Linked DNA regions of Drosophila melanogaster. The protein of the gene in region 1 purifies or fractionates together with the protein of each later gene. This does not show direct contact. Each region holds a gene or a part of one and is shown in the gene's direction. Other genes may lie near its edges.

The links.
Region 2: the proteins of Pur-alpha (region 1) and Rm62 purify together in Drosophila melanogaster (affinity purification with western blotting; one study listed by BioGRID). This does not show direct contact.
Region 3: the proteins of Pur-alpha (region 1) and hts purify together in Drosophila melanogaster (affinity purification with western blotting; one study listed by BioGRID). This does not show direct contact.

What each region holds. Positions count from the first base shown.
Region 1 is NC_004353.4:554,712-562,779, forward strand, and holds the start of Pur-alpha (Purine-rich binding protein-alpha), read left to right. Parts: upstream 1-3,304; 5' UTR 3,305-3,457; intron 3,458-3,511; exon of another isoform or gene 3,512-3,589; intron 3,590-4,952; exon of another isoform or gene 4,953-5,182; intron 5,183-5,383; 5' UTR 5,384-5,546; coding exon 5,547-5,589; intron 5,590-5,637; coding exon 5,638-5,700; intron 5,701-5,759; coding exon 5,760-5,872; intron 5,873-6,006; coding exon 6,007-6,109; intron 6,110-8,068.
Region 2 is NT_033777.3:6,003,788-6,011,977, reverse strand, and holds the start of Rm62 (Rm62), read left to right. Parts: upstream 1-3,404; 5' UTR 3,405-3,507; coding exon 3,508-3,941; intron 3,942-4,249; exon of another isoform or gene 4,250-4,532; intron 4,533-5,863; exon of another isoform or gene 5,864-6,017; coding exon of another isoform or gene 6,018-6,028; intron 6,029-6,680; exon of another isoform or gene 6,681-6,761; coding exon of another isoform or gene 6,762-6,772; intron 6,773-6,851; coding exon 6,852-7,961; intron 7,962-8,066; coding exon 8,067-8,190. Other genes in the region: CG10280 (uncharacterized protein), read left to right, coding at 46-310, 582-1,405. UniProt on the Drosophila melanogaster protein: As an RNA helicase, unwinds RNA and alters RNA structures through ATP binding and hydrolysis. Involved in multiple cellular processes, including pre-mRNA splicing, alternative splicing, rRNA processing and miRNA processing, as well as transcription regulation.
Region 3 is NT_033778.4:19,420,165-19,428,265, reverse strand, and holds the start of hts (hu li tai shao), read left to right. Parts: upstream 1-3,362; 5' UTR 3,363-3,443; intron 3,444-4,151; exon of another isoform or gene 4,152-4,468; 5' UTR 4,469-4,672; intron 4,673-8,101. Other genes in the region: CalpA (Calpain-A), read right to left, coding at 1-296, 359-589, 648-888, 945-1,065, 1,128-1,252, 1,322-1,398, 1,460-1,636, 1,875-1,919 and 1 more. UniProt on the Drosophila melanogaster protein: Required for assembling actin at ring canals in developing egg chambers. Probably interacts with other developmental proteins involved in nurse cell/oocyte transport through the ring canals. Important for normal neuromotor function.

The sequences.
Region 1 (8,068 bases):
AGTCTCATTTTAAAATTATTTCGTTGAAATATTAGTACTATAAATGGAGTTCATGTGTAGCTTTTTGCGAATGGCATATATAAAATATATAGCAATAAATTAAAATTTATATTTCCAAATACAAAAACAATATTGGCTTACTCTTTTTAATCGCCTGTGTATCAACTTTTGAGACACAATGAACACAATGGTACAAATATGCATACACATAATATTTAGCTGAGTCTCAAAATGCAACGAAGCGAAAATGGCAGTAGCAAGCTGTGAGTGTGTGCATTTCCATTTGTATGCACGTACGTATATATAGGGCCGTATGCTGTTGAGTTTACATATGTGTGAGTCTAAACTACTGTACCAGAAAGTTTAGTAAAATCAGAAACAACAGCCAAATGAGTACGCACTCTCAAAAAAGCTCAAGCCGAGAGTTCGTATATGTTCAAGAGATTTTTTTAAGAGAGGCCATATGTGGTAACCCGCGTGTCGATAATGTATACCATACGTAAAACAAGCCGGCCTACCAAAAATGTTTAACTTTTAAAACTTAAATTTATAAGGTCGTCAAAATTGCGAACAAAAAGTTAATTACGAATTGTGGCTGTGTATTACTATAGGTAGACTTAGACCGCGATTAGAATGATCACCTAATCTAAAATGTTGCATCATTGTCAGTCCTTGTTTGTAGTGAGGGGATTTATTATAGATGTACATATGGGGGGTACCACGAACCCTGCAGTTCTAAAAATTATCAATTATCAAAAACCATCACAAAGTCGTATGAAAATTAAAAAAAAAAATTTTTTAATTTTTGTATTTACTTTGCCAACAACAATTTGACCACCACAACAATTTGCCAACAATTAGCAAAATGACGATTCGCTAAGGTGTTGTCCGAGATGTCGGAAGATGTGAGGAACTATAAAAGCTAGAGGGCTGAGATTAGGAATACAGGTGCCGGAACATAGACGCAGCGAAAGTTCGTTTACTGATGTTGCCACGTACTCTCTAACGTCTACAAACCACCCAAAACTGCCACGTCCACAATTTTTAAAAATGTTTTGATATTTTCTATTAGTCTTGTGAATTTCGCACTTTCCCTAGCTGATACCCGGTAGTCTAAAAGCCGAAAAATTCGACTATACAGCTTACTCTTGTTTATGATTATCTAAATTTTTCTATTTAGCTAAGTTGTTTGTGGAGTGAAAGGGTACACTAGATTCGTTGAAATTTATGTAGCAGGTCAAAGGATATATATATATATCGTATATATATAAATAAATATATATATATATATACGAGTCAATCTGACAATGCCAGGTTATCCTCACGTTGGTCGTCCGTCTGTGTAAACGGAAAAAGGTCGCAAAACATATAATAAATTAAATAAATTCAAAACATTTCAAAAAGCTGTGGCGTTGGAGTGACAACTCTTCAATCCAACTTAACTTTCTTGATTCCACTGTGGACGGAAGTACTGACGAAGCCCACCAGAACAATGCCGAATCGACTACACACATACATACACACGAAGAATTGAAAGATTCTGAGGTTTTGTCATTTTAAAAAAATTAATGGTTCGAAGAAAAACCGGTGAAGATTAACTTCAGCCACAAAAATTATTAACAAATTTTGATTAGTTCTTTAAACTGTAAATTTCTGTCGCGTGTTTTGTCTGCAACGACACGTTTTTTAAATCCTATTTGTTTTCTGTCACACAGGTCGGTATTTTAAACATTAGTTGTAACCATTATGAAAAACTACGCTACTTCAGCGGGAAAGCGGCTATACATATGTAAATATACGAGTATATCCAGATTTTACCCTGTCTAAATCCCTCAAGTTAAACAGAAATTTCCCTTGGCGAGGAAAAAATCGGACTGACAACACCTTCAATTTCACGTTTAGATATTACGTTCTGCGACGTAAAATTGAGTAAAGCACTCTTATTTGCGGAGTGTTTGTCTTTTAGCTCCTAATATTTCAGTTAACAGAATATTGGCGTTCAAAAATAACATGTGGAAGCAGTTTTGAAAATCGCTGGGGCTATCAAGGCAGACCAAAAATTTTTATTTTTCGGACTAATTTTACATAACTTTTTCTTAGAAACTCCCTGTTCACGAAAGGAAAGAAAACAATATAGCAGCACTATCCTCAAGAATCTAGGATTCTACAGGTACGCACATGATTAAAGCTTGGAAGGGATTAGTCATTTTTGAGCCCGATAAGGCGGAGTTCCGACTACAAGGGCATTGTGATATATTTTAAAATAAGTCAAAATATACACAAATACGAATACGAATTAAAAGCATTGACAGGGTGTATTGTACATTTGCGCACATACATCTATAAGTGTATGTATCAATTTATTTTTACTTATACTATTCTTTATACTCTAGTCTGTGCTGTCCCGACAATTTGGATTCGGATTTACGGATACGAAATACAGTCCCGATACCAAAATAAAAGATAAAAGACTAGTCGCTACTCTTCTCGTTTTTTCACATCCATATATACACATCTATGTACATATCTGCTTTACATATGTATTTCTGTGGGTTCACAGAGATGCTGTTTCTGTTTTCGCTTTCCAAAGTGGATGTGGCAGATGGCAGCGAGAGGAACGGAGAATGACCATAAACGAGGAGAGAACTGAGAGACGACCAACAAAAATAAGTTTGCGTGTATTTGTATTTATGTAGAAAATGTGTGAGTATATAGGTGGTCATATACTCACGTTTCGCTCGACGGTTTAGGCACAGGATAAGTACGGGGGAAATCGCGAACACAGTACGTAACAGTTACATTTCCATCGAAGTAGCAATTGAAGCACTGCTCCTTAACTAGCGTTCGCAGTATGATGCACATTTTGCATAATTTCAATTTCGAATGTACATGCAGACATATGTATGTGCACACATGTCGTGTATGAATACACACACACCCGAAGAACAGTAGTATGCCGCAGAATTTATTAATTTGCCTCACAGCACCGTTGCACGTTTAGTCGTTAATTTAAATTCGCGATGTATCGGAATCAAAACAGAATTCTGGATGAGATTTATTATAATTTTCCACTTTCTGCTGCTCATGCACGACGAACCACAAACAGCAACCAACACCAATAACGCCGCAAATAGAAAGACTAGGAAAAAGGAGCTTTGCTGACTTATTTGCAGTTTATCGGAGCTTTTTCGGTCAGACGACGCGTTGGATGGGTTACGTTGTCTTTCGTTACGTGCTCGCAACGGAGCTCCGAGAAATTCCCTAACGCGTTCTGCCGGATTCTACACGTACATAGATCGAGCGTTCCTTTTGGATGGCTAGTCAAATCAAATCAAACTAGGCCATTTTACTCAATCTACACATAAACATTGACTGTACAACATGCTCAAGCTTTCGCTGTGACTCAAAAACACTCCAAAACTCGGATTTGCATCAGTCTTCCTACAAAGGCGTTAAGGTATTTCAGCTCTTTTGGGCTCCATTCCCCTCCGTTCTGAACCTACGAATTTTCAGTTTTATCCGACGAACAAATAAAATAAGGGAGTGTCGATGTCATTTGTAAGGGGCAGTGCGTGTGTGTGTAGATGTTGTACGTTTTTTATAATTTTTTTCTTCCTGGACTTAAGTTTAAGAACTTAAGTGCTAGAGTAAAAATACCCAGTGTTGCAGTAGGAAACAGTATAAAGCTCCTCCATTTATTTGCAGTTGGCTCTAGCACTCCTTTCATGAGCACTTACATATATTTTTAAGTGTGCATTGCTAATATGTGTACTTTTGGAAGCTCCATTTAAAAAGTTCCCACCTTTCGTATTTGGTGCACATTTTCCCAATTTATTACATAAACTGTTTTATGACAATGTTGAATTCAAGTTTGAGTTCCCGTATTCGCTCGTATTAGATGAATATGTATACAAAAATCAGCTTGCTAAGTTCAAATTGTGTGTGTAAAATGGTTTTACCCGTAGTGGCATACATACATACATACATATGTACACATGCAAAAACCTTGAAACTGTTTTCTTGGGTAGTCGAATCAATTCAACGAATGCGATGGTGAACAGCTGATACATGTCAAACACGTACTCATGCAATGTAAACATCTAATTCCTGTACTTAACGGGATATTAGTTTGTTTATACAAATTTATGAATTCCTGGACTGGTAGTTCACTCAATTGACAGGGAATTACACATAATTTATTGCCAGATAAATATAATGCCTTGGAAAAATTATTTATTTATGTATGTACAAGAACGTTATAAGCAGTTTGGAAAAAAGTAGACATGTTCAAAGTGTATGTATGTGCATATATGTGTGTACATATATATATAAATATGTACATAATATATATATTTATATATGCATTTACATTTATATGTACGTTACGTCCTATGACTTTACTTATGTACATATGTCTATACGGATTCTTCTTATTGTTTAAATTAATACCGTTTGGTAAAAAGAAATTTCAAACTAAAAGTGAATAAAATCTTTTCAAAATAAGTAAAGAAAAATTACATCAATATACATTTTAATGCTAAAGGTCATTGAACATTTTACAAGCTTTATGAATTTTAATAAATTTTAATGTAAAAAGTAAAAATTAATTCATGCCATCCTGAACAAGAATATATACATACATATTTACATGTATATTTGTAACTCTTTAGATAGATCTTGGCGTCACAGCATGATTAAACAAAAACAACTAACGAGGTATTAACTTCTGACGATTGAACAAAAACGAATATACAAAAATTCTGATTTGTACTTTTATAACGAAAAATTATTTTATATTCAACTAGGAAACTATAATATCTGAAGTATACTCGACACCATTTATCAATATATTTCGCTGGCCTTTCATGCAAGTGTTCCGAGAAAGCACGTAGAATATTAAAAAAAATATATTATGCTGTGATCGTTTTGGGAACGCGGCTTACAATTTTAAAATAGTATAGTATTTTCACTTTCACCGCTTCTCTTCCGAACGATATACACATGTAATGGTCTTGGATGCAAGCCCTTAAGTTTTTGCATCTGCATATGCATTTCATCATGTACATACATATATAGTTGTCGCCTTTGGACACTATCTTGCTGCGCAACGTCACTACGAGGACTTTCGTCCACTGTGATATGTTTTGGCAGGATATATGTATGTATATTAACATACAATATGGTAGGTACTATAGGTAAGATTGTTAGGTCGGTATATTTTTATTCTATGTAGCCAAAATTAGATCCTACGAAATTTACTCATATGATTTAGGTATTAAAGGAAGTTAGTAAACAAAAACGAATTTACAGAAAAAAAAACAAACACAGCTGCTGTGCTGCTACTCTACGATATTAATCATAATTATCTATATTATATTTAAAGCAGGGGAATGTTGTACACCGGACAAAAAGAATGGTTATACTATTAACTATATGCTGTCGTGTTGAGGCACAAGAGTAGTGTAACATTAAAAGTGTGTCGCTGAAAAGGAAGGAAGCGTAACTATCTACCAAGCTTCGAGATTTTATAAATAGGTGGTCTCGTAATGTCCGATTTGGGAAGTGGAGATGATGGCATCTCAGGATCAAGTAAGTGAGCCGCATATTAATAAATATATAACAACTTCCATATTTTAGAATATAATGTTGCAAATATGGAGGGTTCCTCAAGTAGGAACGACTTCGATTCTTCTGCTAAAGGTAAAAATGCCACATGTATAATTTATACTATCTGAACACGTCACATTCTTTCGCGTCAGGAGGAAGCGGCGTCGAACAGGAATTGGCTACGAAAATGTTGCAAATACAATCTAAACGATTTTATTTGGATGTAAAACAAAATAGAAGAGGCCGTTTTATAAAGGTTGCTGAGGTAAATCATCTGATTAGAATTTTGTTATCACTTCTATTTTATAAAGAAAAGCTTTTGTTTGATTTGTATAACAGCACCTTTTGATAAAATTCACAACCATGGAACGTTATGTATAACAGCTTTAAAAATTTCAGATTGGCGCTGATGGTAGACGAAGTCAAATTTACTTGGCTCTTTCAACTGCAGCCGAATTTCGTGACCATTTATCCTCATTTAGCGATTACTACGCTTCTCTAGGTATATACAGTCCCATTGTAAAATGTTTATTTTTATCAATATTATTTTAAATACGAAAACTTTACAGCTCAAAGAAGCTGGGTTCGGAAAAAATATAATTTTTGAAATTTGAAAGCTGGAATCGTTTGCCCATTTTTTGCCCAATTAGTTTTTTTTGCCCACGTCCAGTTTTTGAGATAAGAATTTTCGAAAAAGTTCGAAAATGTTCGAAAATCAAACATTTCGCTTTTTTCAATTTTTTTTTTTAATTGCAACAACATCGTTTGCCCACCCTTTAGAATTTTGAAAAAATGTATACTTTAGAAAATATAAGGCTTTAAAGTTTACCTCGGTCTAATCAGAGAGTAAATCGTTTGCCCATCTCTTAAAACCAAATATAATCAACAAAAAACGTTTGCCCAACCATTATTATTAGTTTTTATCGTTTGCCCACCCTTTAAAAAACCTTTAACAAACATTTTTTTTCGATTGCCCACACTTAAAATACAACCAATTTCGTTAGCCCACCTCTTTAAAATAAAAATTTCCAATAAAAAACGTTTGCCCACCATTTAAAAATAAATAATTTCGATTGCCCACCTTTTAAAACTAAATAATTTCGTTTGCCCATCCTTTAAAATTCATTTTTAACGTTTGCCCACCCTTTAAAAATAAATTATTTCGTTTGCCTATCCTTTAAAATTAATTTTTAACGTTTGCCCACCCTTGAAAATTAATTTCTAACGTTTGCCCACCATTTAAAAATAAATAATTTCGATTGCCCACCTTTTAAAACTAAATTATTTCGTTTGCCCATCCTTTAAAATTCATTTTTAACGCTTGCCCACCCTTTAAAAATAAATTATTTCGTTTGCCCACCCTTTAAAATTTGTTTCTTTCGTTTGCATTAAAAATGAATTTTATAGGATGGGCAAACGAAATAATTTAGTTTAAAAAGGTGGGCAATCGAAATTATTTAGTTTAAAGAGTGGGCAAACGAAAAAAACCAATTTTAAAGGGTGGGCAAACGAAATAATTTATTTTTAAAGGGTGGGCAAACGTTAAAAATGAATTTTAAAGGATGGGCAAACGAAATAATTTATTTGTAAAGGATGAGCAAACGTTAAAAATTAATTTTAAAGGATGGGCAAACGAAATAATTTAGTTTTAAAAGGTGGGCAATCGAAATAATTTATTTTTAAAGAGTGGGCAAACGTTAGAAATGAATTTTAAAGGATGGGCAAGCGAAATAATTTAGTTTTAAAAGGTGGGCAATCGAAATTATTTAGTTTTAAGAGTGGGCAAACGAAAAAAACCAATTTTAAAGGGTGGCAAACGAAATAATTTATTTTTAAAGGGTGGGCAAACGTTAAAAATTAATTTTAAAGGATGGGCAAACGAAATAATTTAGTTTTAAAAGGTGGGCAATCGAAATAATTTATTTTTAAAGAGTGGGCAAACGTTAGAAATGAATTTTCAAGGGTGGGCAAACGTTAAAAATTAATTTTAAAGAATAGACAAACGAAATAATTTATTTTTAAAGGGTGGGCAAACGTTAGAAATGAATTTTAAAGGATGGGCAAACGAAATAATTTAGTTTTAAAAGGTGGGCAATCGAAATTATTTAGTTTTAAATGGTGGGCAAACGTTTTTTATTGGAAATTTTTATTTTAAAGAGGTGGGCTAACGAAATTGGTTGTATTTTAAGTGTGGGCAATCGAAAAAAAATGTTTGTTAAAGGTTTTTTAAAGGGTGGGCAAACGATAAAAACTAATAATAATGGTTGGGCAAACGTTTTTTGTTGATTATATTTGGTTTTAAGAGATGGGCAAACGATTTACTCTCTGATTAGACCGAGGTAAACTTTAAAGCCTTATATTTTCTAAAGTATACATTTTTTCAAAATTCTAAAGGGTGGGCAAACGTGGGCAAACGATGTTATTGTGATTAAAAAAAAATTGAAAAAAGCGAAATTTTTGA
Region 2 (8,190 bases), on another chromosome or scaffold:
GAGCCAGGTTCAGTTACCAATTTCGTGTGCAGCCGTTCGGTTTGAATGCGGCATGAATGTGGCGTGGAAAGAGTGGGCAAACAGCGATCGAATGGAAATATAGTCACAGCCAAGCCGAATCCCAGCTCTATAATGTGTGCTCAGTTGAGTGGATCAGTGGTGCTGCTGGTGCAGCTTCAGGTGGCTGTGCTTCTGGTGGCGCTATTGGTGCTATCCGCAACAACGCTCAGTGAAAGCGCCAAGCTCCCTGTCCGCCAGTATCCCGCTGGAGTGGATTTCTTCGAGCATGAGTTCACCAGTGTGGCGGAAGGTGCGTTCCACTCCCAGTTTCTCCCATGTCTTTATTAATCACTAAGTCCATTTTTGTTTGATTTGAGTTGTGAAGCCCTAAAGATCTTTTCTAGTTTAATCTCCGAACTAAAGAATCTTTTAGGAATATCGTATTTTCTCATTCTGTTCAGTGAATTCGCAATGTGAGTGTTAAAAGGACAATGCAATAACCAAAATATAACATCACATCGATACGTGGGCCTTAAAATTTCAAGAAAATACCATATGGCATATTATATATTCTAAATTAGTTTTGAAACCCCTTTCAGATGAATACGATCCCTACGGACCCGACATCGGTGACGATGACCTGGGAATCGACGATCCGGAGACCATGCCCCGCTTGTTCCAAGGCGACATCGCCATTGATCCGTACACCTACATCACCCTGCGCCTGGGCGTCAATCCAATGAGGCATCCAAAACGACTGTGGCCCAATGGAACGATTCCCTTCGAGATAAGTCCGCGGTACGCAAATCAGGAAAGACAGGCCATTATTCAAGCCGTAAAAACCTTCAACTCCCTAACGTGTGTGCACTTTGTGCCGTACGATGGGGAGGTAGATGACTACCTGTTGATCGAGCCGCCTTTGGAAGGACCGCAAGGATGTTGGTCCTACGTGGGCCGAAGAGGAGGTGAGCAGGTGGTGTCCCTCCAGAGACCCGACGAGAATAGTGCCCACTGCTTCAGCAGCGAGGGCAGAATAATGCACGAGCTGATGCACGCCATCGGCATATACCACGAACAGTCACGAGCAGATCGGGACAACTTTGTCAAGATCCACTGGGACAACATTGTGCCGCGGTTTAGGAAAAACTTCAAGCTGGTGTCGAAGAAGAAGGGGAAGTACGCCTTCGACTACGACTACAACTCCGTGATGCACTACGGCGAGTTTTACTTCAGCAAGCGGAAGGGTGAGAAGCCCACCATGACCCCTCTACAACCTGGAGTTAGGATCGGGCAGCGAAAGACCATCAGCAAGATCGACTGCCTCAAGATCAACGAGCTGTACGGCTGCTTGCAGGGCCGCAGGGCCAAGATGTACCGCAGTTTCTGCCACCTTCTCGGGTTGTAAGTGGACGTGGACCTAGACTGGGATATTTGTTATGAATCACATTGATTTGATATTTAATAAACTTTAATAAAATAATGCGTAGACCCTTATACATATTCATTCTTGGCTGACCCACCCACCAAACTAACTAAACATATCCATTACTTGCAGGTCCGGGTATACTAGGTTCAATTATGAAAATTTAAGAGATAGATAGAAATGTGTGGGCATGCATACGAATTTTCTTGATCACTAAAAGGTTTGATCTTGCCACATGCGCAAGTGTCATAGAAATATTTTGCTTAACTTAGCAGAGATAGACGTGGTTTAAAGTATTGCCATCTCATATGCACCTGTATAACACTGCTAGATAAAGCAGTGCCTTTACTGCTTGCTAATGCGGTCACTTGGTGATCACACTTATATATTTCCATACCCCAAAGGAGGATAAAATTATAACATACCTGAGAACACCCGGGATCTTTAGTCATCTTTGCAACATGCTTCGTATAAAAACGAAATTGAATATAATCTGTTTTTATTGTTAACTTCACTAAAATAGTTCGTAATGCAATTAGATATATTTATTTATAAAATTATTAATAAGAAACGTATTACTTACCGGTTTTTCATATTTCACTTTAAGAAATTGAGCAAAATCCACTTGACACGTTCTACAATCAAATGCAAATTCAGTGTTCGAAACTTTGCTAGAAGAAGGCTGTAACATTTATTCTTGTATTTTTGAACACTCCCAAGGAAAAGTGCGGCAGGGAATTTTAGTACTGAAGAAGGACATATGAACTGGATGTTTGGGTGGCTACGTGTTATCTGCTATTTTTGTCTTTATCAATTGATTTGTTAAAAATGTCACACAGCAACTCCACCTTTTGGAGAGGGTTCTCTCCGAATTTTAAAACCGATTGACCATGGCCTTTACAGTACAATTACGATATACGATAGTTCGTGGTAAGATATTTAAATAAAGTACAGTGAGGTAGTTGGTAAATTTGTAAGAGCTTACAGATACTCATTTTCATTAAAGTGCCGTAAATTTCAATTTTTGGCATTTTGAAAAATAAGTGCATTCTTTACTGGTGTTAATATATGTGGCTACTTAATCCTCCATAGATGCCATTTTATTTTCCAGCATAATATCTATATTTAGCTATTTCCAATCATAACTATGATTCTTTCAATTTAATTCGCTAAAACTCGAGTGAAATTTTCGATTTCTTTCAGACTCATTTTTTAGATGTAAGCAATAAAATTATGTGTAAATTATAAGATTTCTTTAATAAGTATTACTTTTTATAGACTTGAAATGGTCAACAAGCAAGTTCTATGAAATTTTGAAATTAATGATGAAAATTCTGTGTGTTGTACAATATTATATTTTCTTATAAATAATAGGATATATTTTTCCTTTCAGAATATTGAGCCAACCTTATTTTAATTCTTTAAAATATTAGTAAAAATGATGCGAGATTTGCGCTTTTGGTAGATTTCAAAAAATTTGTATTAATTGAAAATGTTAAATAAACCACAAATGGGGTGAGTCTTTGCTAAATGCTCAACACAGAAAGTTGTTTTATGCTTATATTTGTTAAGGTATATTTACTAATCTCCGCACAGACTACGTTTTGGTAGGCTAGGAAATTTAAGACATTTCCGAATATTAGGAGTACGGACCGACGACGAGATACATTTAAAGTTCGTTTCAGCAGAATCTTAAATATTAAAAACTTAGCGGGCAAGTAAATACACCGCGTTCAGCTGATTATCGATAGCTAGGAAATTTAAGACATTTCCGAATATTAGGAGTACGGACCGACGACGAGATATATTTAAAGTTCGTTTCAGCAGAATCTTAAATATTAAAAACTTAGCGGGCAAGTAAATACACCGCGTTCAGCTGATTATCGATAGCAACCAGGTGGTCACTCTAATAGACGTTTTCATGCGAGCCCGCTGCGGTCACACCAACTTCTCGACCGATTTTTCCCCTCCATCTAGGGTCACTCTAATTTTGGACGAGGTTAGGTAAGACACGCGCGGATGCCGCGCTGCGTAGGATAAATCCGTCATTAGCATAACCGCATTGAAGCTAAGTCTTCGGGAAAATGCTTAAGCTTGTGCAATACATAGCCCCCCGGGTGGGCGGCGCCACGCCCCGACCGACTGCCTGCGGCTGGGGCAACTTGCTATTGATTTCCCCGAGAAGTGGCGCGAGCTCCGAGAAATGTATAACGCAACGTCGCCATTTTCTTTTCTCCTCCGCCAGCAGCAGCGGCACTTTCGCTTCTTCTTCTTCGCTCTGCACCGAACAACGACAACAGTTCCACGGGAGTCGCAGGAATCGTGAGACAATACTGTTCCCAAGCACATATAGTAGTCTCCAAGCTCAGTCGCAGCGTGCGTTTCGAGACAGCTCGAAACCAGATTCAGACGACTACGTAGATTCCATCCCGAAAGCAGAGCAGCGGACGAGGACGAGGAAATCGCTTTTCAACGATCCCGACGAAAGAACTGAGGAAATCAAAATTGAAGGAGTAATGTGAGTACGCCGCAAGATTTCATATGAAATGCGTTGGTTTTTTCCACTCACTGTCGCCATTTTATCACCCTTCGTGCCATTCCTCTTTTTTTTTTTTTTTTTCTGTACACCTACGAAGCGAGGTGATGAGTAATTAGTGTGAGCGAAAGAGAGAGTTTGGGGAGAGAGAGAAAAACACATGGTTTGCTAAATTTTGTCAGTCGGAGGTGAGGTTTTCAGCCATTTGTTGTTTTTTTCTTTGTGTTTGCCCCCGCACATCCGCAAAGGAGTAGCAAAAGCAACAAGAACGACAGCGCACGTCATAAAAAGAATTTGCCTGATTTGTGAAACGTGTTCTTGCTTCGTTTGCTATTTTATAGCGTTTTAATTTGTCTGTATGCCCCGAACATGAACACGCGCACTCACACAGCGGCACATACGGACTTGCTTGTATGCGTGAATGCCTGTTGACGGCGGCATTTTCTCGTGCTCGTAGAACAGTTCGAACAGTGTGTGCGAGCGTATAACAGTCGGCGGCTGTCACTGACTAGCGCCGTCCTGCTCACTCGCCAGCATGCCTTTCCATCACATTCTTTCCATGGCTCACACGAGGTTTTGTAGAGATATCGCGATGTTTTTGGTATTGGCAATTTTATAATTTGATGTAACCATCCCGACATAGATTTATACTTACTATGCTTAATTTGGGAAGTGAATGGGGTTAATGGTTTGCTTCGTTTGGTTATCTAATGCGTACATTGAAATATATAATTTCAGTATAATTCTGTATACTGAGGACAATTTTAGGGAAAAGTAGGGTTATTCTCTTAAAATTTTCTCTACACTATAAGTAAAGGTTCCATGCAAACACATTTAACTTACAGATTATCAAAAATGCATTTTATCGATCATTTTATCTATTTTGCTACGCTCTTTTTGTGTTTACTTATCATGAACCATGCTTGTTATGCAATAAAAATTATTTATTAGAAAGTTATACTATAGTATTGATAAAAACTCAAGTAACAACCAAATATTAAATGGTAATAGTAACCCAGTTCGTGAACTACGCCATCACATAAACGGCCCCATTAGTCTAAAATGTCAAATGACGCCAATTGATTATGAGCTCCCCCTTTGGCGAGCGCGCGATTCGTCTTTTCGCATGTCAAAAAGCGACAGGTAGACACACAGAAAGTCAAAGGTGCCCCCAGGGACTGTCCCCTCCTCCCCTCGGGTGTTTGCCCACCGTTGAAACTAGGGGCAAGACATTTGGCTGTCTCATAAATGTTCAGAGCGTTCCGCTTCGCTAGTTGGGCACAAACGTTAGCGTGCCAGTGGGTCCTACAAATAGACGTTTAGGGCGGTACGGTGTTCCAAATTGACAGAGTAATAGACAAAAAAAAACGTGGGCCTGGATCGTGGGTGATTTGCATGGTGCACCCCATAGTGATGCCCACTAGGATCACGAAAATGGAGCTTACATACGAAGTAAAGCGAATATAAAGTGGAAATTTATAGAAGTTAGTTCGTAACACAATAAACATAATTTATGTTGTAAATTTTGTTTTATACAACTTTACCATCCAACTTAATCTTGCACTATATTTATTACCACATTGTATATACACTCCGCAGAGTTAATATTATTTTTCCCTAATTATTGCAAAGTGCTAACATATATAGGTCGGTACCTTCGCCAGTTCTGACTGGAACTAGAACTGCGCCAGGTTGATTAATGCCAGAGCAATAAACGCAGGGCTTTGTACATGGGGCTGTTTAGTTTAGTTGAGCATTTAGGGGCTGATAAACTGGGGTGAAAAATTGGTGGGAGGGTGGGCTGTGAATAGAAACCCTGCTCGAATTGCATGTTGTTGTCAATCAAATTTGCCTTACTGTTTGCATTATTCGAAATTTATTTAATTTCCCTAACACGCAATTAGTTTTTATTTAAGTTTATTGCGGTTGTAGCACAGCACAACTCCCATGTCAGCTGTTTAGCAGCGTCGAAAGAAATCGAAAAGCGAAGACTTACCTTCCAAGCCAAGTCGCAGTTGAAATCCAAGTCCCAACTGGCAGACGTCTAGAAACGGCAGCATGCGAGCAAAGTAAGCCAAGTCACTCGTTTCTTTTTTTCCTCAATTTTCTGTCAAAGAAATACTTAAGAAAAGAAAGTGCAGCTGTCTACGCCGAGCCGGAAAAAATGATTCCAGTTAAGCATGGTTTAATTCTCGAAGGTCCCTTTTATCAAGGGAAAATTTATGACACACAGTTTCTGGGTAATGTGTGTGCAGCGCAAAATTATTTTAGATGGCAGATAAGGAGGAATTGATTATACAAATGTACAACGCGAAATTAAAAAGTTTGTGAGAAAACTATCAAACTATATCAACTTCAGCGAAATTCGGTTACAAAGCTCAAAGTGGGATATTTTCTTAAAGATTCCACTGAATTCACGGCAGCGAAATAACAAGTCGTGAAGTCGTTCAATTTCCATGAATAAGGAAAAGGCCCTTGATACTTGACACTAAGTAAACTTCGGCAATGCAAGATAAGCATATTAGAATTAAATTACTTTAATCTCATTTGCCTTTACCAAAGCCAATTACCATCGCAACCATTAATTTTGCCAAAGTTATCTAGAATAAATTACAATACAAAAAGGCACACAGGGTACGCGTGAATTTTTAATTTATCAAGTTAATGGGAAAAACACTTGTAATGCCACTAATTTAATTTTTTTTATCTCGAATAAAACAGCATCAAGATAAATTGGTGGTCAAAGATCAAACCAGTACAAGAAACTGCAAACTACTACCTTAAGTTCAAATAAGCTGCAAGATGATGATGATGTGAGATTTCTTTTCTTGAGCATTCCGTTTCTATTTTGCATACTTAGATACTCATCGATCTTCCTTTATTATTTCCCAGGGCACCACACGATCGCGACTTTGGTCACAGTGGACGTGGCGGTCGCGGAGGCGATCGAGGCGGCGATGATCGGCGAGGAGGCGGCGGCGGAGGCAATCGCTTCGGTGGCGGCGGTGGCGGTGGCGATTACCACGGCATAAGGAATGGACGCGTCGAGAAGCGACGCGATGACCGCGGAGGCGGCAACCGATTTGGAGGTGGTGGTGGATTCGGGGATCGCCGAGGAGGAGGTGGCGGCGGCAGCCAAGACCTCCCCATGCGTCCGGTCGACTTCTCCAACCTGGCTCCCTTCAAGAAGAACTTTTACCAGGAGCACCCTAACGTAGCAAACCGATCGCCCTACGAAGTTCAGAGGTATCGCGAAGAGCAGGAGATCACCGTGCGCGGACAGGTGCCGAACCCCATCCAGGACTTCTCCGAGGTCCATCTGCCCGACTACGTCATGAAGGAGATCCGCCGACAGGGCTACAAGGCCCCCACCGCTATCCAAGCGCAGGGCTGGCCTATCGCCATGAGTGGCTCGAACTTCGTCGGCATTGCCAAGACGGGATCCGGAAAGACCCTGGGCTACATCCTGCCCGCTATTGTCCACATCAACAACCAGCAGCCGCTGCAGAGGGGCGACGGACCTATCGCCCTCGTGCTGGCCCCCACTCGGGAGCTGGCCCAACAGATCCAGCAGGTGGCCACCGAATTCGGTTCCTCGTCGTATGTTCGCAACACCTGCGTCTTCGGCGGCGCCCCGAAGGGCGGCCAAATGCGGGATCTGCAGCGCGGCTGCGAGATCGTCATTGCCACACCCGGACGTCTTATTGATTTCCTCTCCGCCGGCTCTACTAACCTGAAGCGTTGCACCTACTTGGTGCTGGACGAGGCCGATCGCATGTTAGACATGGGCTTCGAGCCCCAGATCAGAAAGATCGTCTCACAGATCCGGCCCGACCGACAGACGCTCATGTGGAGCGCTACCTGGCCCAAGGAGGTCAAGCAGCTTGCCGAGGACTTTTTGGGCAACTACATCCAGATCAACATTGGATCGCTGGAGCTGTCCGCCAATCACAACATCCGCCAGGTGGTGGACGTTTGTGACGAGTTCAGCAAGGAGGAGAAGTAAGTGGACCTTAATTCTAATTGTAATTGTCTAGTTGATACTAGAATTTAGAGAAGTTCCTCTTATAAAATTTCTTAATTTAATATTTCCTCCTATCAATACAGATTGAAGACCCTCCTGTCAGACATCTACGACACCAGCGAGAGCCCCGGCAAGATTATCATATTCGTGGAGACAAAGCGACGCGTGGACAACCTGGTGCGCTTCATCCGCAGCTTCGGAGTCCGT
Region 3 (8,101 bases), on another chromosome or scaffold:
AGGCTATAGATAGCGAAACCAATGGTCAGACACTCCATTCCCATATTGCGCTTCGATCTGCGATTCTTTTGCATTAAGGCCACGATGACGGTGCACTGTCCCTCTTCGTCTTCCTCATCAGGATCGACTAGGGTGATAATATACTGGGGGTTGTGCCAGAAGGTATCCAGGAAATTGCGGCAACCACCAGCTGTAACACCGGGTGTCCATTCTCCCTCATACATGGACATCTCCCACTTTCGCTTGCCACTGTTTTGTTGGTCCTCGGTCAGTGAGTCCGGCGACAAATTGCAAATCTGAACAAAATCATGGCGAATGAATCATGAAATATTTCACCAAGAAATATTAATAGTCCTACCTCCACGCGATCGAAGTGGTTAAGAAAATCTTGGAAGGACATCCAGAACTCTCCGTCTCTGTCGAATGTTAGTCCAATCTCCGCCTTCTGTTCCTCGGGTATATAGCGCCATTCTGGTGAGCTATCACTCCATGGTCCATTCCACTCGGCTTCATTGCCCCAAGGATTTCGCATTCTTATCATAGGGATCTTTCCCTGACGATTTGGCGTTACTATGTCAATAAGGCAAACCTGTTGACATAAGATTAATTAATAAAATGTTCTTATCATAGCAATTTTCCGAACAAACCTTGGTTATGGAGTAAGCGTGACCACGGATTAAGCCCTGAGGAGTTTCTGCCTCCGTGACATTTGGATCAGGCTCAATCGAGCATCCCATCATGGAATTGCGTTCAGCTGCTTTTTGCAGAATGGTGAATAGATTGCCGGGTGCTTCTTTTAAATCGTACCACTCGGATACGCCGCCAGTAAAGTCCTCCATGGCCTCGCAAGTGCTGCCTCCCTTTAGTGCCTCGTAGGATCCATGAAGTCTAGAAAGCATATATACATCAGTTGACCATAAAGTATGTGAATAATGTAGTCCTACTTGGCATAAGCCTTCTCCAGCAGGGCGCTCCAGAACTCGTTCTTCTCCGTGGAGTGCATGTACATCAGCTCTCCATTATAAGTGGGCAAACGGTCATCAATGATTACATCAACCCATTTACCTTAAAATTTTAAACTAAAATTGTAAGAAGCGCATGAATAATTTTTTTAATAAATAATTTACCATACTGCCAAAAGCGGAAATGGAAGATACCAGCATAGTTCTCCTCGAAACTCTGTTCCGCTGGAATTACCCGAAAGAAAAGGTTGGATTCCTGAGTTAAATTGGCTGTGGCAGCCAAGAGCCAACTGTAAATGTAAGCATTTATTTAAAACTATTAATTATTCTGGCTGCGGAAATAGAGATTTTGTTCTTACCAGTCACCAAGCTCGCCTTGCTGAACATCAAAACGCGAATAACCCTCCACAAAAAACTGGGGATTCTCGGCAATTTCCTTTATAATTAAAGCATTTATACCTTTAGTTACGGGTAATATGGTAGTATCTAAAACTTACATGAGGTCTCAGCCATTCGATGTGACGATCTGGACGCCGGGAAAACTGAAGAGACTCGTTCGAAGCCGGAAAAAGTGGATCTTCGAAAAGGGAACCACTGGCCAGGCAGCTGTTCAATATTGTCTCATAGTCCTGCACCTCGGAATAGGGTCCCAGGCTCGAGCTCTTCTCTCCCAGCTAAAAAATACATGCTATTAGTGATATGAATCTAACAAAATTGATGAACTTGATTAAGAGTATTATGTATGTACACGATAAAGTTGTGTAATGGAGTTGTATAAACGATGATGCGTTTTACACTTTACATGCGAAAGAAAAAGAACACAAGGACAACACAGTACGACACTTTGGCAGCGCATTATCCTTGGAATGGAATTATGTCAATGCCATTACGATGACGGGAGTAGGTACTTACGTTCCCATAGTACAACGTACTATTACTTTGAGATTGCAATGGTTGCTAATGAGTGGAATGTATATGTATTTGTTAACATGCATATGTAGATTTCAATGGATTGTTTTCTATGTTTGTTTAGTATAGTATAGCGCCCTATAAATAACTGTTGATAACCGTGTGGGTCAACTTACAACTCTCATATTCTTGATGCTGGGCAGAACCCTCTTGGTGTCGGCCTCCTTCTTGATGAAGATCTCGTTGATCACCGATCCGACCACATCCTTGGCCGCTCCCATTGCAGCCTCACCAGCTGCATTGAGGAACTCCTGTCCCGCTTGCCTCAAGAATCCCCTCAAGTCGTCCATCGTGCAGATATCTGAAAATATATGTACATATATAGTTTAATATCAGTTAGCAGTGTAAGGTGCCGCCTCAGATTAAAAACCCATTAATAAATATTTATTGTTCAAACATTTGATGACTAGTTAGCAACATCCAATATTTTTTATATCGCCCATATTTACTTATAAGCCTCGCGGTGGAATTAAAAGCACACCCAGAGACATAAATATGGTTTAACGAGCATTACAGAATCGTTAGTATTCCCAGTGTGACTGGAAGTCGGGCTAAATGAAATTACTTTAATTCACGCAAACTGAAATTATACTTTGGAGACAAGAATGTCTCGGTTCGCACCCAAATATAATTCAAATGTTTCTACATATACAATGCTGTATTTATACATATGTAGCCGCTATATATATATGCTATATTGTGTGACATCATTCGGAAGCATGAGATTCTCTAGTGACTCAAAGGGTGTGCGCCATTCGGGAGATTAAGCTTCGTTTTTTATCCATATTAAGCCGGGATATTGACATTGACCCATGGAACTACTACATATGTACGACACATATAGGGTATATATTTCTGTGACAATAGTAAATTGGCCTTTAATTGGGGCGAAATATGCTAGATTGGCTGACCCATCTGTTATTGTATTTGCGAACATTGGTAATTCTACGGCGAAACCCAAACAGGTTTGGTAATTAATGCATTCTTCTGGCCTGGCTCATTCCCGTGACCACCATATTTTCGTAAAGAATAGTATATTCGTCATAGGCACTTGATATTTCTAATACTATATATATTTGCCCATTTTCCAACGGACCTTGATTGGTCGAGAGAACGATTTCCGAATCGAATCACGCACTTTCACTCCCCAAAATCACAGCACAACAATAAAGTAACGGAACCACGCACCTTCACCGCACGGAGATATTTACTCACTACAAATATTTATATCTGTAGCTCAACACCTGACTGCTATCGAATGTTTTGGTATTTATTTTTATCGAAGTATTTTGCCGAAATTTGTGATTTGCCAGCCCTATTTCAATGTAAATATATCGATAATCGCCCGATTTTACTGAAAAATATTTCGATAAGAGCATCGATATTTCAAACAAATATCGACCCATTGACATGCGTCAGGTTTGTCCATCCCTAACAAAATCGTAGTACGAAATATCGAAAACGAAACACATCACGCGGGCGAAATTTCGTGAAGTTCAGCATTTACAAATTGTAAGCAGTGGTTTTATCGAACCCATTGACCAATTAGTGGGCTTCTAAAATTAGTGATAGACTTTATTAAATGAAACGAGAAAATAGAGGCGAATACACCCGTACAGCAAATTGACCATCGATTTTTTCACGGCATTGCCGGTGACGAGAATGCGACGCCGTTCATACACACACACGCACGGACACGAATGTGTGTATATGGCGCGGCGCTTGTGTGTGAAAGTGTATTCGTATAAATAATATGACATAATCGACGTGTGCGGCTTAATTGACATAGTTTTTGTGCGAAGAATACCTAAAAGTGCGAAGAGAGCGCCAAAAAAGGCGTTTTTTGTTTGTGGTCAAGGTGGCAAAAAGGACTTGCACCGCTATTTTCCCCTGCGCTTTGCTCCAAATATTCGTTCCTCCCCATACACTCTCTCGCACACACACAAGCGTGTATATTTGGGCGTTGCAGGATGAAGAACTCTCTTTCTCTCTCCCACTTTCCTTCGCTCTCTTCTCGTATTCTCTTGAACACTTTTGCGCAATTTGAGTGATTTGCAAGGCAAACTAATGCTTTTCGATTGTTTACCGAATTTAGTTAACCCCGTTTGGAAGCCAGTTTGTCTGGAAGTTACTTCAGTTTAGTTGTTTTCAACATCTCCACTTGACGTTGCCTAACACTGCCCGCCCTCTCTCTCTCGGCTTCTTTGCCACTGTCCGTGCGCAGTTCTCTTTTGCGCTTCATTCGTGCTCTGCCCGTCGGACGTGTCCGTACGATTTTGGATTAAGTTCTCGTAGGCAATTCAACTTGAAATATTTATTCGCTGCGGTGCAACTAAAATTTAATTCAAAGAATTAAAAGTGCTAAGTGCTGTTAGGAGCGGCAATTTTGCAAAAAAAAAAATATTAACAGTTATTTGGTGTAGTGCAAGAAGCCCAAAAGAGAACAAAATTATTTATTTTAAACATATTGCATTCAAGGCAATAAAAAGTTAAATCTATTAAAATTTTCTACCCTCTCCCTCCCCTTTTATTGATAGTCTCCCTCTGTGGCGTATGTGTGTTTGTACGAATTAGCGGCTGAAAACCAAAAACCGAGGTGCGAGAGCGAGAATACATTTATAAAAAACGCGTGCGTTTCTCCTCTAACACATACAGTGAGTGTGACCGTTGTATTTGTGACCTGTGCCTGTGTTAGCGGCCACTGGAGGATCAACGAATTTAAAAGAATACTAAAAGTACCGGTGAGTATTCTTGCATCTACCGGATGATGTGTTATAATCCCGTTAAATAGTGAATGTCCCCTCGTGCCCTGCATTCGTTTTAACCGTTATGACGATGAGCGGCAATTCGGCCGGTGACGCCATCTTTTGTGCTTCTCTAATAAGTGTTGTTTTTGTTTTTTGGGTTTGGTCAAGCTCACGCAACACGGCGTGTGTGAGTGAGTAGTGTGTCTATTTTGTTGTTATGCTTCATAGACAGTGGCGAAACTACAGATTATTATTCAGGGGTCATAAATGTCATTTAAGATCAAGAACATATTATATTTAAATTTATCCGGAAATATGAGCAAATGTTTAAGGTGTAGCACCACATTGACCCCCATTCAGACGCCACTGTTTGAGCTTCTAGTTCTAGCCACTTTTCTTCTCTCTTTCTCTTTTTTCGGGTGGGTGTGATTGTGTGTGCGTGTGCTTTTCCTTTCCATATGATTCATGCTTCTTTCTACCTCCGGCTTTCTATGCGCTTGTCAGATTAAAAAAAAAACCCATTTTCCAATTCTCGTCGCTGATTTTATTCATCTTTTATTTGGCAATTTGTTGCGAATGCCACTTGCAAATCTCTAGCCGTGTGCCTAATGCACTTGGGCAATAAATCCGCCTGCTGGCGCGCATCTGTGGGCAAGTTTCATGACCCACTTTTCCTCCTTGGTCTCTCGCCTTTCAGCAAAGTAAATAGTGAAAAGCAGCAACAAGTGATAAACAGATTTGTAAATATTGAAAACTTGTTTATGCCATTTGTCAGTGCAACCCAATGCCTACAAAATAGACTTTATAGGTATCGGAGGTAGTTCTTGATACTCAGTCAGTTCGATTTTTAAATTTTTTGTTGTCATTCAGAGCCCATCTTGATATTTCTGTAATTTATTGTAATCTTGAACGAATAGGAATTGATAACCTTTTACTTTAATTATTCTTTAACCCAATTCAATGCGCTATGCTTAAATGAAACATTACGCTTATAGAATTTAATATAATTTAAATTAGCAATGTTTCCTATAAAACTTTGTTTTATATATAGCCTTCTATAGATGTTCTTATGCAAGTCATAGGAGTTCGATTGTGTGTGTGCTCTCCCGCAATCTTATCAGAACCTTCGCGCTGGTTACGTTTTCTTGTTAGATTGCTGTTTCTATACAAGTACCTACATATCCACATTACAACAAGCCAACAACATTCCCAATTTAAGTTATAAGGAATTTCTCCTTTGCCACCAACTAACTACCTACCTATTTACAACATTCTTCGATTTCTATTACCTTACTTCCTGTTCTATATACTCATCATATCAAATTCGAGCATTCCATTTGCCTTAGCTACATATTTTGCGATACATGACGTCATTTCGCACACATTGCTTATAAAAAAGGTAAAAAAATAAAATAAAAATTTGCTCTTTTTGTTTGCTGGCTTTTGTTGCTAATTCGAATTTACTCATAGAAATACATGGGCAGTGGGCTTTATTTATTCATTGCTTATGCTGCCTCCCCCTTTATCACCCCTTATCAAGCTTTTCACTTGTTCCTCTTGCTCTGTTGTCCGTTTTCAATTCGCAAATTAGACGTGACTCGTTGGTTGAGGGTTTCAATTGAGGTTTTTTGCACACCGCAAGTTGCATTTAGAGAATTTTCGAAAATCGTTGAGGCATTATTTGTATTGAATTCCATTTGCACTACGAATACTGAAAAGGTGAAGCAGACTCAGTGTAAAAAGACAACAAAAATAATACAAAAACGATTGCTTCCGCTAAAAAAAAGTGACACATAAAAGTATCTACACAGAAAAAAAAACGAAATATGATATAACCTAAACAACATAAAGTAAAGTACGAAATCTTTACGGATTGGAAAATTCTGAATGTTTTCGTAGTCAACGGGTCAACCAAAATAAAATTGACTGCCTCTTTTTTTCTTTGTGTGCGTTTCATTCTCACGGGAGGAAGTGCATAGTTAAAACTGTAAACAATTGTTGAGGAAACTAAACAACAAAAAATGTTTTGGAATGGAAATGAGACGGAAATTCGAAATTGTGAGCCCCCGAAACCATAACAAATAAAACAAATAAGAAAAACGATAAGAAATGCACTTCAAGTATACGAAAAGACTAACTTTCTAACCTTTATTGAGGCGTGTCCGTCAATGCAAATGCATTTGATGGGGCCAACCAGTCCTAATGACTTTTGATTTGGGAACTGAAAATTGTTTACTCAAGCGTGTGCTTATCAAAATTCCCACTGACGTCACATCACTTGTGATTAATTGATTTGAAAATGGTTAGGATTAAGCTGAATAATTTTGATTAATGTGGCTGCAGTGGAGCTCCTCTGCGAGTCTGGCAACTCTGGCTAAGACGAAAAACAAATTTGTCCAAGAGCGAATGCTCAAAATTTATGGCTCCCTAAAAACTGAAAAATAAATTCTACTCTGTTTCTGCCCCAAAGCCAATTGACGTGAAGATGCAACAGAGTGAGACGGGAAAATGAAGGGGAGATAGCCAGCCTGAAAACCCTCACACATAAATAAATAAAAGAGGCGTACGTGCCAAGCTTCAAAACAGAGACACATAAGCAAGATTAAAAAAAAGAGAGATGTTGCTGCTGGCTAAACAACTGCAGCTCATCAATAAAACAGCAAGAACAACAATAAACCAGGCAATGAAACCCAGCTAAAGAGATAGACAGAGACAGCGGCATGCACAGCGACAAGCAATAACAAATGTACAGTTGCAGAAGCAGCACGGCCGCATCGTGCAACAACAAACTGCTGCAACACAACATAAATCTTGGAAGAAAAGAGAGAAAAAGAGTTGTCAGCATGTCGAAGCTTTTACACCCTTTAAAGGTTTTGCTTGGAAGCATATAAAAAAAACTTAATTTAGTAAAAAAAAAAAACAATCAGCATCTTTGCGGTTAGTCTTTAGTATTAAATATATTTCAGTTTTGAGATAGATTTATGGATATTAAGTAAAGTTAAAATGTTTAAACCGAACAGAAAAGCATCCAGCATTTTTCAAAGCTTTCTGAACTCTTTGAAAAATATTTAAATCCACATCATATGTAAAAGATAAAGATCTCCCTACTCAAACAATGCCTTGAAGTGCAGTCAACTGTGTTTGTCACTGTTTGCTGTTGTTATTTCAGCTTTAAAAGCTGGCGACCCGCAGAAGGAAAGCAAAACAATGTGGATAATTATATCGAAAAGTTGGGGAGCGAAGCGGAGAAAAATGTAGACAATTTCTGTTAAGATGGGAAGATGATGATGATGGAGCTGTGTGTCTGCATTTCTTGCCTTCTTCAACATTTCTTGCTTGCATTTCATCTGCGCTGCGCTTGAACTTCAATTGAATTGTATTCTCTCTCCTCTCTTTCATTGCATATATACCCCTCTCTGTCGA